Drosophila melanogaster: one gene and its partner. The protein of the gene in region 2 interacts with the protein of the main gene of each other region in a biochemical or structural test. Each region holds a gene or a part of one and is shown on either strand. Other genes may lie near its edges.

What was found. The genes of interacting proteins can lie anywhere in the genome.
Region 1: the proteins of Lpt (region 2) and Su(var)205 form a complex in vitro, tested with the Drosophila melanogaster proteins (one study listed by BioGRID).

What each region holds. Positions count from the first base shown.
Region 1 is NT_033779.5:8,209,084-8,212,935, reverse strand, and holds Su(var)205 (suppressor of variegation 205), read left to right. Parts: upstream 1-1,813; 5' UTR 1,814-2,092; coding exon 2,093-2,206; intron 2,207-2,269; coding exon 2,270-2,386; intron 2,387-2,462; coding exon 2,463-2,583; intron 2,584-2,832; coding exon 2,833-3,101; 3' UTR 3,102-3,310; downstream 3,311-3,852. Other genes in the region: CG8372 (uncharacterized protein), read left to right, coding at 227-817; Ssb-c31a (single stranded-binding protein c31A), read right to left, coding at 1,102-1,377, 1,434-1,490; CG8419 (uncharacterized protein), read right to left, coding at 3,665-3,852. UniProt on the Drosophila melanogaster protein: Structural component of heterochromatin, involved in gene repression and the modification of position-effect-variegation. Recognizes and binds histone H3 tails methylated at 'Lys-9', leading to epigenetic repression.
Region 2 is NT_033778.4:23,896,688-23,904,179, forward strand, and holds Lpt (lost PHDs of trr), read left to right. Parts: upstream 1-1,873; 5' UTR 1,874-1,982; coding exon 1,983-2,577; intron 2,578-2,636; coding exon 2,637-2,759; intron 2,760-2,823; coding exon 2,824-2,993; intron 2,994-3,056; coding exon 3,057-3,247; intron 3,248-3,304; coding exon 3,305-5,268; intron 5,269-5,332; coding exon 5,333-5,477; intron 5,478-5,544; coding exon 5,545-5,843; intron 5,844-5,904; coding exon 5,905-6,213; intron 6,214-6,271; coding exon 6,272-6,924; 3' UTR 6,925-6,974; downstream 6,975-7,492. Other genes in the region: CG17658 (uncharacterized protein), read left to right, coding at 1-12; CG5339 (uncharacterized protein), read right to left, coding at 431-970, 1,028-1,312, 1,368-1,460; CG13562 (uncharacterized protein), read left to right, coding at 7,142-7,283, 7,348-7,492.

The DNA.
Region 1 (3,852 bases), on a different chromosome or scaffold from region 2:
ACGCCTCTGCCATACAGCAATGCTTTCCAACACTGTCAATCTCCATGTCAATAAATACTGAGGTAGATGTGAGTGAACTGCGACTGCTTTATTTTCTCCTTATCGTACAATTAAAGCCCAATTGGAATTGTTAGCGACTCGTTTCATGGGCATTACGGCCGGGAAGACCGTGAGTGACTGTTCTTGTGGCTTCCCCGCACAAATATCAACCTAATACAGTGTAATAATGTCGACAAACCCAAGTCCGCAGCGGCAACAGTCCGAGGACGTTCAGATCTCGATGGCCAGTTCCGGAGGAGGAGCCGGCAATGGCGTTCCGGATAGACTGCCTCCGATCAACGTAAAGGACCAACGCTTCCCCTACTGCATCGTTTGGACTCCCATTCCGGTTCTCACCTGGCTGATGCCCATGATCGGACATATGGGCATTTGCACTTCGTCCGGTGTGATTCGTGACTTCGCCGGCCCCTACTTCGTATCAGAGGACAACATGGCCTTTGGAAGACCCACCCGGTACATAAGGTTGCACCCCAAGCACATGGTGGGCGGCAGTTACGCCTGGGACGAGGCGGTCTCCAAAGCATCTGTGCTCTACGGCACCCGCATCCACAATATCTTCTGTGACAACTGCCACTCGCATGTGGCAACGGCACTCATCTACATGCGCTACTACGACAGCACCGCATGGAACATGATTATCCTCAGCATGTGGCTCTTTGTCTGCGGCCGCTACGTCGGAATAGGGGGTTTTATTAAGACCTGGCTGCCGTTTGCCATTCTCCTGTCCATCTTCACCATTCTGGGCATCTATTTTTAATATTCATATCTATATCAAATGCTATCAATGTACAAATCTATGTACATATGACGTCCAATAAAGGATTCATTCATTTATGTATATGTGTGCTTTTTGTAGTCCCACCACAAAGCAGATAAGGAAAATACCTATCAGGCAATTAAGTTGGTCATTCATTAATGCTTCAGCAACTGTGAAAATACAGATTTTCAATTACTAGTGTTTAAGATAACGTTTATTCAGTGGATATGTCTATAGTTAGTACATATGGCTACGACTTAGTTTGGCATGTGGATGAACTTCAATTAATTCTCGATCGCGCGGGTGACTTCTTCGGCCACTTCAAGGAGTTTCTTCCATTGAATTAAAGATAGGGAGATGCCCTTCTTGCCGGGAAGAATTTGGCCGCCCTTATCGTAGAACTCTCGAATGTCCACCGATTTGCGACCGCGGAACTCGTTGATTCGCACCTGGCGAAGTCCTTCCAGGGTCCAAGATGTAGCACCATTTTCGCCCGAATCTTTTGGATCTGAATTTGGAGCATCAGATTCCTTCGCCTTCTTGCTTGCCGGCTTGATACGCTGAAAGAGGTTTTAACTTGTTATACCTAGTTTTGGTGTATTTCTAGTTAACTTACATCATCTGGACCGCTATCGCTATCTGAGGACGAATCCTTCTTCTTTGTTTTGGGCATTTTTATAGAATTTCCGTAAAACAGAAGAAACAAAACGCAAATTGTCAAAAAATTCGTGAATATTCGCGCAACTTATTCAGTGCTGTGAAACGCGTCGATAATAGTTGTGGTACAACGGATTCCTTAATCGATTCATCGATTTATTACAAAATTTTTAAAAACAGATATTGGCGATCAGTTAGTTACGTTATTATTATAGTTATGTTGTAAAATTTAGATAGTTCTTAGTGTTAACATTTTTCTAGACTTAAAATGAAATTAATACGATGTGCAAATCTATCGGAAAATAGATAAGCGTAGTCTTAGCAGTCCACGCGTACTTTCGCACACTGTTCGGCCGGCGTCATTTTAGAACGCGCATTTTTTTGCAGATTTTTCATTTTGTGGAAAGTCTTCTAGCGCCAACACACAGGCTTATAAAAACCAATTTAGCTGCGTGCATAAAGTGTAGATCTTATTTAATCTAGGTGAGCCATGAAAGCAAAGAGAGTCGACTAAAAATCGTACTTTCCTTTCGTACTTTGCGTGTGTGTGCGGTTGTGTGCGGTTGTGCTAATTCTTTCCTTATTTTTTGTCGTGTGAAGTATTTTAATAAAAACAAAATGGGCAAGAAAATCGACAACCCTGAGAGCTCGGCAAAGGTTTCCGATGCCGAAGAGGAGGAGGAGGAGTACGCCGTGGAAAAGATCATCGACAGGCGGGTGCGCAAGGGAAAGGTGAGTTTTCCGAACCAGACGTCCCATTATATTTGGTCCTAAAACGCCATTTTCCACCTGCAGGTGGAGTACTATCTGAAATGGAAGGGCTATCCCGAAACTGAGAACACGTGGGAGCCGGAGAACAATCTCGACTGCCAGGATCTTATCCAGCAGTACGAGGCGAGCCGCAAGGATGAGGTAAGTGAAGTACAATGCGATGCCAAGTACAGTTGTGCTTGCTAGGATTTCCTTTACATCTCGTTTCGGTCCGTAGGAGAAGTCAGCCGCCTCCAAGAAGGATCGACCCAGCAGCAGCGCCAAGGCCAAGGAAACTCAAGGACGCGCCAGCAGTTCGACGTCCACAGCAAGCAAGCGAAAGTCCGAAGAACCAACAGGTAAGCTATGGAATTGAGTGTACCTACAAATATTTTCTGTACACAAATTGGTATAACAATAGTCATCACCTACAATATCCACTGGCATTTATTTGCCCTTTTCGTCAAAACTGTATTCACATATGTATCTCAAATTTTGTCCTTCGCAAGAATGGCATGCGCAAGAAAAAGATGGTCTTTGCAATAAAAAAATGCATCTATTAAAAAATTGCACTGTATTAATTACTTGTTTTTATTTTATTTATTTAGCGCCCTCTGGCAATAAATCAAAACGTACCACAGATGCGGAGCAGGACACCATTCCCGTTTCAGGATCTACCGGATTCGATCGCGGCCTGGAGGCCGAAAAGATCTTGGGTGCCTCCGACAATAATGGCCGCCTGACATTCCTCATTCAGTTCAAAGGCGTGGACCAAGCAGAAATGGTGCCCTCCTCAGTGGCCAATGAAAAAATCCCACGAATGGTAATCCACTTCTACGAAGAGCGCCTATCCTGGTACTCTGATAATGAAGATTAAACAGTTGGATCATCGAAAGCGAAAAAGAACGATTATACATTTAACGAAAAATTACCCACTTAGAATTATAGCTCCTTGCAGGCGCTTTCAAAACCACCCAACCAACTCTTAAGGCATCGGACTTTTTTCCATAAATGTCCAGAGTCAGTGTCTGTATTTATGATAACCATTTTCAATAAATAAAAAAAACCTTTATTCTGCTGGAGCCTATATAAGTAACTTTTATTTGCGACTTGTTGCTCAACGGTCAGGATATGACGCGCATATGCTGACCATATGGTAATAAGGAGAATTCAATTGGTAATTCCAGAGGTCGAAAGGGATTTTGTAGCCTTAGCAATCTGAGATTATTGTGTGCACATTGTAAATGGACTGTCGGGTCTGTTGGAATGCATGTATTTTGCAGGTAGAAAAACGTTTATTTTGAAGTATCCTTGTTGTCTATCTGCGCGTGCGTATAAACTACAAGATCTTTGAAATTTCACAAGATGAACAAACAAAATGGCGAAACCTGGCTATATGTTAATTTATTCGTTTTATAGCCCTGCATCCTAATCAATTACTTAAGAATTAAGCAGTTTGTTGGCCACATTGCATTCCGAGTTCTCAAGGACATTTCCACAGCAGGACCAATGACGTCTCCCTGGATGTCCAGCATGTCCATGACCGCAGCCACTATATCCAGGCATATGACCCTCACACGAGCACATCACGTTCCGGTTGCCCTTTCCGGAACAGAAGGAGCAGCAGT
Region 2 (7,492 bases):
AAATGCCAATGACTACCAAAGACTATATAAGGCTTAGTTTAGTACACATAATACCTTCGACAATACTGACATTTGTTATTAAACAGCTGCTCGTCAAATACATATTCTAAGTTACCTGATTACTGCCACAAGTATCAAGTTAGATGCATTAAAACTACCCAAGACTGTAGAATAACTACAATTAGTTGATAATATCGAGAACAGTATTCAGTTTCGAACGCGGCTTTGAATGTCGCCCTTTAATTTAAACATGTTTGTTTATCCATTTACATTTTTGGTAATTCTTTAAGAATAAATTGTTTAACTAGTTGATAGCCTACATTTGTAATAAGTATAAATGCTCAGTTTCTCAATGCAGCCACTTAACTCTACGAGGAAAACGGTTACAATAACTTCAGAAGGGTTCTTTTTAGGATGTGGAAGCTTTGATCTAGAATGTCTTCTTGGAAATGACAACAATTAAATCGATTAACCAATAGAACGACTGGTGGAGATCACCCTCGCACAAGTACGGCGCCTTGGTCCATGCCTCCACGCGGTAGCCACAGTTCTCCAGCAGCTCCATAAACCTGGCCGCCTCCTCCTCGAACGACGCCTGTCGCCCGTTGTTCTCCAGCAGCGGGCGCAGCGGCAGATGCGAGGTATTCGTCTCCACGTAGTGCATGTAGGGAAGTACTAAGGCCACAACTGCTCGACCATTGGGAGCTAGTGCCAGGTGAATGTCCTCGAGCAGCTTGAATGAATCGAAGCAGCGGTCCAATACGTTGAGGCACAGAATCAATTCCAGGTTCTGCAGACCGTCTATCTCGGTGATTACGTTGAAGTTCAGCTTCTTCAGCCGATCGCGCATGGTCCAACTGGCCTCGGTGGCGAAGACCCGCAGCCCGGCACTTCCGCTCAGCTCGGAAACGGTGTTGGCCACGCGCAGCGAAATCTCACCGTCCCCGGCTCCGATATCCAGCAACGTGACCTACGATATGATGGCAGATGAGTAGTGGTCAAGACTAAAGGCTTTTACTCATCTTACAGGTTCTTGACCGCTGGCAGGCTGAAAGCCGCCTGCTACTAGCAGCTTGCGAAACTGTTCCTCGGACAGTATGAACATGGAGCCGCGCTTCAGGAACCCGTTGATGTCCGTCTGGGTCATGAAGAACTGCAGGATTGAGCGAGCCAGGGCGTGCCACAAGTGGGTCCAGATGTTTGCCGAAAGCGCCTTGGTGCGCTCCAGCCAGCTCACGGTGGTGGCATCCGGCTCGAGCGGCACGAACTTGGACTGGAATCTCGGCGGCAGCTCGTGGTTCAGGCAGTACCACTGAAATGCATCCAGAATTTAGGAAAAATCATATTGTTTCGGGATTTCGAGTTACCTTCCGAGTGTCTATGTCCTCCAGAGAGTTGTCGTTGTGGAATTTGGCGTGGATTACCCTGGCCAGGGTGCCGCGGGGACGATACACAGCCATGCTAACAGAATAGTCTATAATTGTGCTTTTATTTACATTTTCTACTTCTGTGTGTTTAACTTAGTTGTGCCATCATTTTTCCAGTTTGAAGAACTGGAGTACGGTATTTTTCCAGGGCTGGATTGCAGAGTTGCACTTTGATCAGCTGAATGCGATTGGTAAAGGTATATCGATATGTAGGCGTGACAGCCTAATGTAAGTGTATTATTATTTATAATGTATAATTTCAGAAATTAATTAATTAATTTGTAGCCGCATAAAAAAAATTAAAATATGATGTTATATTTGATTTGCCATTTAAAAGTATAAATACTTTGTAATATAAGGAAGACTTTTATATTTATATCTAATAATTGTACTACTCGCTCTGCAAACGAACGCACATCGTTCTCGACAACATTGACGCCTGTTCGATAACATTGGGGCGCGATGCACGTTGACATTTTATTTAGCTGTCGAGTAATGTATACAAAATAAGCGGCGGCTATTTTTTGTTATTTTAATGAAACGCATCAATCCGCGATGAGCACGAACGTTGTTGTGAGCATGGAGGAGAAGGCGGTGGCCGACGACCTGCCGTACTTCCCGGAGAAGTTTCCGGGCAAGGTGTGCTGTTTATGCAATCTCGGCGAGAAGAGTGCCTTGGGCCAGGGCGAGATTCTACAACTGAAGGCGCCCGCGCCCGCCGAGATCAAGGATAAATATCCGACGGATCGGCTGAGGGAGGACGGATCCAGGCTGTTATACGGGCCTAAGCAGGCCGCTTCTAGTTCGGGCGATTGTCACTACGAGCTGGACAAGATTGGACAGCCGGACGTCGTGCATCCCGCCGAATTTCTTGACGAGGGGTTCGTCTACGTGCACCGCATGTGCATCATGTGGTCGCTGCGCAAAAGTCAGATAAGCGATGCAGATGGCGCGTACTTTGCCACCCACTTCGCGGAGTTCCTGGAGCAAAAGTGCAACTTTTGTGGACGCTACGGGGCCTCCATCAACTGCAAGATGAACTGCCGCCAGGTGCACCATTGGCCGTGTGCCGCCGCTGCTGGGTGCCTTCTGATCCTCGAGAGCTTTACGGTCTTCTGCACGGAACATTTGAGCCAGGTGCCTGTGATATGTAAGTGATTCTTGGGCAGCAAACTCTCACAGAAACTAATGGAAACAAATGACTTACAGGCAGCGACAATAATGTGGAGTGTCTGTCCTGCTCCTCGCTGGGGGATCTGTCCAAGCTGATCATGTGTAGTACCTGCGGAGACCACTTTCATTCGACCTGCATTGGTCTGGCCAATTTGCCGGGTAACTACTGTCAAGTACCATCGTACCATTGGTTTACATGTTTACATGTTTAATGCTTCCATAGATACGCGTTCTGGGTGGAACTGCGCCCGTTGCACAAAATGCCAGATTTGCAGGCAGCAAGACTCGAACGACACCAAGTACGTTAAGTGTGAGCAATGCCAGAAGACTTACCACGCCTCCTGCTTGCGACCAGTTATCTCAGCCATCCCCAAATATGGCTGGAAGTGCAATGTAAGCAGATATTGACGGATATTAAGTGTTATCCAATACTTATGGTATTTATGTTCCTTCTAGCGCTGTCGCGTCTGTACGGATTGTGGTTCAAGAACTCCTGGCGGCGGCAGCTCCTCCCGCTGGCATAGCCACTACACAATCTGCGATTCGTGCTATCAGCAGCGGAACAAGGGCTTTTCCTGCCCGATTTGCCAGAAAGCGTACAGGGCAGCATCGCACAAGGAAATGGTCAAGTGCAGCTGGTGCAACAAGTACGTTTCACTCGCTTCTGCCTGATTAGTCTTGCTTATTATATGGATTCGTTTCAGATTTGTGCACAGTACGTGTGACGAAGAGGCGGATTTAACGGCCTACCACAAGAAGAAGGAGCAAAACCCAGATTACGACTACGTGTGTCCGAATTGCAAGAGTAATTCGTCGGGCCCGGGATCATCCCAACAGACAATCGACTCGATCGTGCTGTCCGCCATGGATTCGTCGTCGGAGCAACTGAGCCTCAAGGAAATCGAACTTGACCCGCTGGAGGGCAAACCCACAATGGATCCATCGAGCGATGAGCTCCACAAGCTACCCACCGGCAAGAAAAAAGTGTGCCTTACGAGTGTTCGCGGTAGAAGCGGAAAGTTCGTCCTACACCGCATGGGTGTGATGTCGCAGATCAACAAGAAACGCAGCACCCGAGGCAAGGGGCGCCAGCTTGCGCTGCCCACCATCTCGAGCGATCGCTGCCTGAGTCGCAGCATGGAAACAGATCTGACCAGCGACAAAAAGCTGCTGCTCTGCTCGGCGCGGGATAAGTTTATCCAAGCGCAAGACATCTGCGTAATGTGCGGCTCGCTGGGCATTGAGAGCGATTCCGTGATGATCACCTGCGCACAGTGCGGCCAATGCTATCATCCGTACTGCGCCGGCGTGAAGCCTTCGCGAGGCATCCTGCAGAAGGGTTGGCGATGCCTGGACTGCACAGTGTGCGAGGGATGTGGCAAGAAGAACGACGAGGCGCGCCTGCTCCTGTGCGACGAGTGCGACATTTCGTATCACATTTACTGTGTGAATCCTCCGCTGGAAACCGTGCCCACGGGCAACTGGAAGTGCTCGTTCTGTACACTGTGCCAGAAATGCGGTCGCAATCCCACCGAGAAGAGCGAGTTCGGGGACTCCAACATGCTCGAGTGCCCATCCTGCACCAGCCAATCCTCGTGTCCCGTCTGCAAAGTCTCGTACAGCAACGGCGAGATGATCATCCAGTGCGAGCACTGCGAGCTATGGGCGCACTTCCACTGCGACTCTGTCAATGCCCAGCTGACCATTGACCACTACGACAACAATGTGTACAAGTGTTTCAAGTGCCGCTGCTCGACGAGGAGCACTAACTCCCTGGCGGATGCCAAGTTTGGTAACGAGGATTCGCTGGCCATAACTCCCCAGGGCAGCAAACCATTTGTGCACATCACAGCCTCCTCCGGGCCGTCTTTCGATTCTAAGAGTGGTGCCGAGCGAAATCATCCTACCTTATCCGGCGATATGCCCGAGTCTGCTCCAGAAGCGCTCCACTGGATTGACGGAGTGTGCCTGAGCGAAAGCGGATTGGGCATGATCAAGTCATTGTCCACGGAGATCAAACGCAAGCGCAAAATGCGACAAGCCCTCGGCAATGGCAAGGATGGACAATTGGAGGCCGCCGCCGAGGAAGCGCTGGAAAAGTACAAAGACGGCATGGTCTGGGATGGGACGGAGAACGCTATTCCCGAGGGTTTCACCATCTCCATTAACGACGAGGGAGTGAACATATTACGCAAGAAGCGACAGCGCAATCTGCAGAAGCTGGGCATTGGTGGATTCTCCGTTCGCAACCGAGGTCTCAAGAAGGACAGCGAGGAGACGACGGCCGTTGACCAAATAAATTCCCTTATGACCATGGACAAAAAGAAGAAAATCATACGAAAGAAGCAGAAGAACAAGCTGATTGAAGCCTATCCCGTGTACTTGCAAGAGGCCTTCTTCGGAAAACCTCTGCTGGAAGGTGGAGAGCTTGTCATGGCCGATACAGATTCCTCTGACGAAATTGATGCGTCCATGAAGGTTTACTTCACGCGGCCCGAGGGCAAGAGTCCTGCCAACCAGGACACACTGGCGGTGAACAAGAGTCCAGCGAAGACCGTGAAGAAAGTTAAAGCTGAGTTGAAAACTGAGAACAAAACTGTTTTCATTCAGCAAATGCCCATGGGAATCCAGAACAAAAACGGAACGACGCCAGTGTCTAATGTTTTTGGTAAATGTTTAACCAACCCACTGACCACTTTATTCCCAGGTTGTATCGTTTACCATTTTTGCAGATCCCTTGCAAGCGGAGATTTCGAACACTGTCTTTGCTAACCGGCATCCTTTGGATGCGTTGGCTTCACCAAATGTTCCGGAACTGGACATGGCTAACTCTGTTAGTACGGTTCCATCAGCTGAAGTCATTGAAAAACCAATGCGGTGAGCCTCATGTCCATATGCCAGTCTATTCTAAGCTTATTAATTTGTTCTTTTTTCTTTCTCAAAGGGAATCACCTGCGGTCCTGGTCGACAGTTTCATGGTCCCCAACCAGTTGCCACAGGAACAGAAGTTTCACAATCAGCTATATTTGGGCGGAAATACTTTGGTTAATCCCGCCCAGCAGCTTCAGTTCCGTCAGCAGGCACCACAAAATGCCAATAAGCAGAATATGCAAACTATAATGAGCCAAGTCGTTTTGCAAACCGAAAAGAGACCAGAGGAGGAGCAGAAGGTTGTGGAGCCCGTGACGGAAACCCTGAACGCTGGCACTCAAAAGACGGCGGAGAAAATGCGCAAGGATGAGGGTATGAGGGTGCATTTAAATAGTGTAGGATTCAAATGCTCATCACCCCATTTGTTTTGCAGATCTTGGGCTCATGGCCACCATTTCGGCCGTGCTGTATGCCAATACTGAGCATCCCAACCTGAAGGAGTTGTTTCCGATTTGGAACGACCGCTGCAAGCAGATTCTGAAGAGGTGGCGCTCGCTGTGCAACGAGAAGAAGGCGCCGTTCTTGCAGAAGGCCAAGGACAATCGCTCAGCACTGCGGCAGAGGCGGGAACAGAACAAAATACCTATGCCACCGAAACCACAGAAGCAGGAGGAAATGGGAAGAGTGTGGAAACAACCGCCCAAGCTGAAGGAAGACCAGCCGAACATGTTTGTCACGTACAGTAAGTGCTGCAGCTCAAGACTTGTTTTAGTTGCTCTAACCCTTGTTTTTTCGTCTAGATGGAAACGCCTACGATATGGGCAACTATGTTGGTGGCTCGGCGCAGGCAGCGTCCAATAATCCCAATCCGCATCACGTGATGCCGAACGTTAACGATAATCTGGTGATTAAGGCCACGATGCAAAGGACTCAGGTGCACACGACAGCAGCCAGCACCTTGAAAATGACCACCGTGGACAATAGGCTGGAGTTGAACACGGCGGTGTACGGCACGGAACCCATTGGCGACAAGAAGCTCAGGAACCTGCTGCAGAAGAACAGCACGGAGCCGATGCTCATGGGGGCCAACTCGGACTTGTTCTTGGGCAACGATGTAATGCGGCTGGGAATGATGCAGAACACACCCATTACGCAGAACAATCCCATGCTGAGCATAAGTGGAAAATCTCAGCCATCTGAAGGCAGGTCCTTGGAGCAGGATGTGAAGTTGGGCGAGCCGCAGGAGGCAACCTCTTCCGCCGTGGAGTTGGAGAATGTCGGATTCAGCGACCTTCTGGGAGGACTCGGCGAGGGCGACGACGACGACCTACTCAAGTCGCTCACTTCCGAAATGGGAGACGACTTCAATATCCTGGAGTACGCGGACCCAGAACTGGACGTCAATGTTCTCAACTCCCTAGATTTTGATGACAATGAAAAGTGCTCTACATAGGAGAAGCGGAATCGTTTAAATTGAAATAAAGAAAATGCAATATTTAATAGAAAGCGCCACTTTTGAATGCAGCCTCTTTTGGCGCCAAACCCCATTCTTCATCGATTGCCGTATACCATATCGAATTTGTATCTCTTCGGCACAGAAAACTGGTTTTCTACGCGGTTTGCACTGTTGTTACTTTTTATTTTCAGCTAACCATCCAGATGACCAGATAATGCAGTTGTTCAGTAGTTTCCACTCAATCCTAATTGTTTGCTGTGTTCTCTTAATTGATGGAACGCACTCGAAACTGAATCTTAAATATGCCATTTTGAGGCAAAAGCAAGCAGCAAAGGCAACGCAAAATGACACTTTGGGTATGGATGTGGGAGAAAGTTTCTGCTGGACGAGCGTATCATGTCGATGTTTTTGTTTATGAAGCCCACCAGCAGAGAATCAAATATGATGCCCAGAAGACCATGAAGGTGATGTTCTACAAGAACAACACCAAAACCATGGAGACTTCGGCCTACGACGATGCCTACGATCTCAGTGGCTCGGGTTGCTCGCCCACGGACAAGTTTGC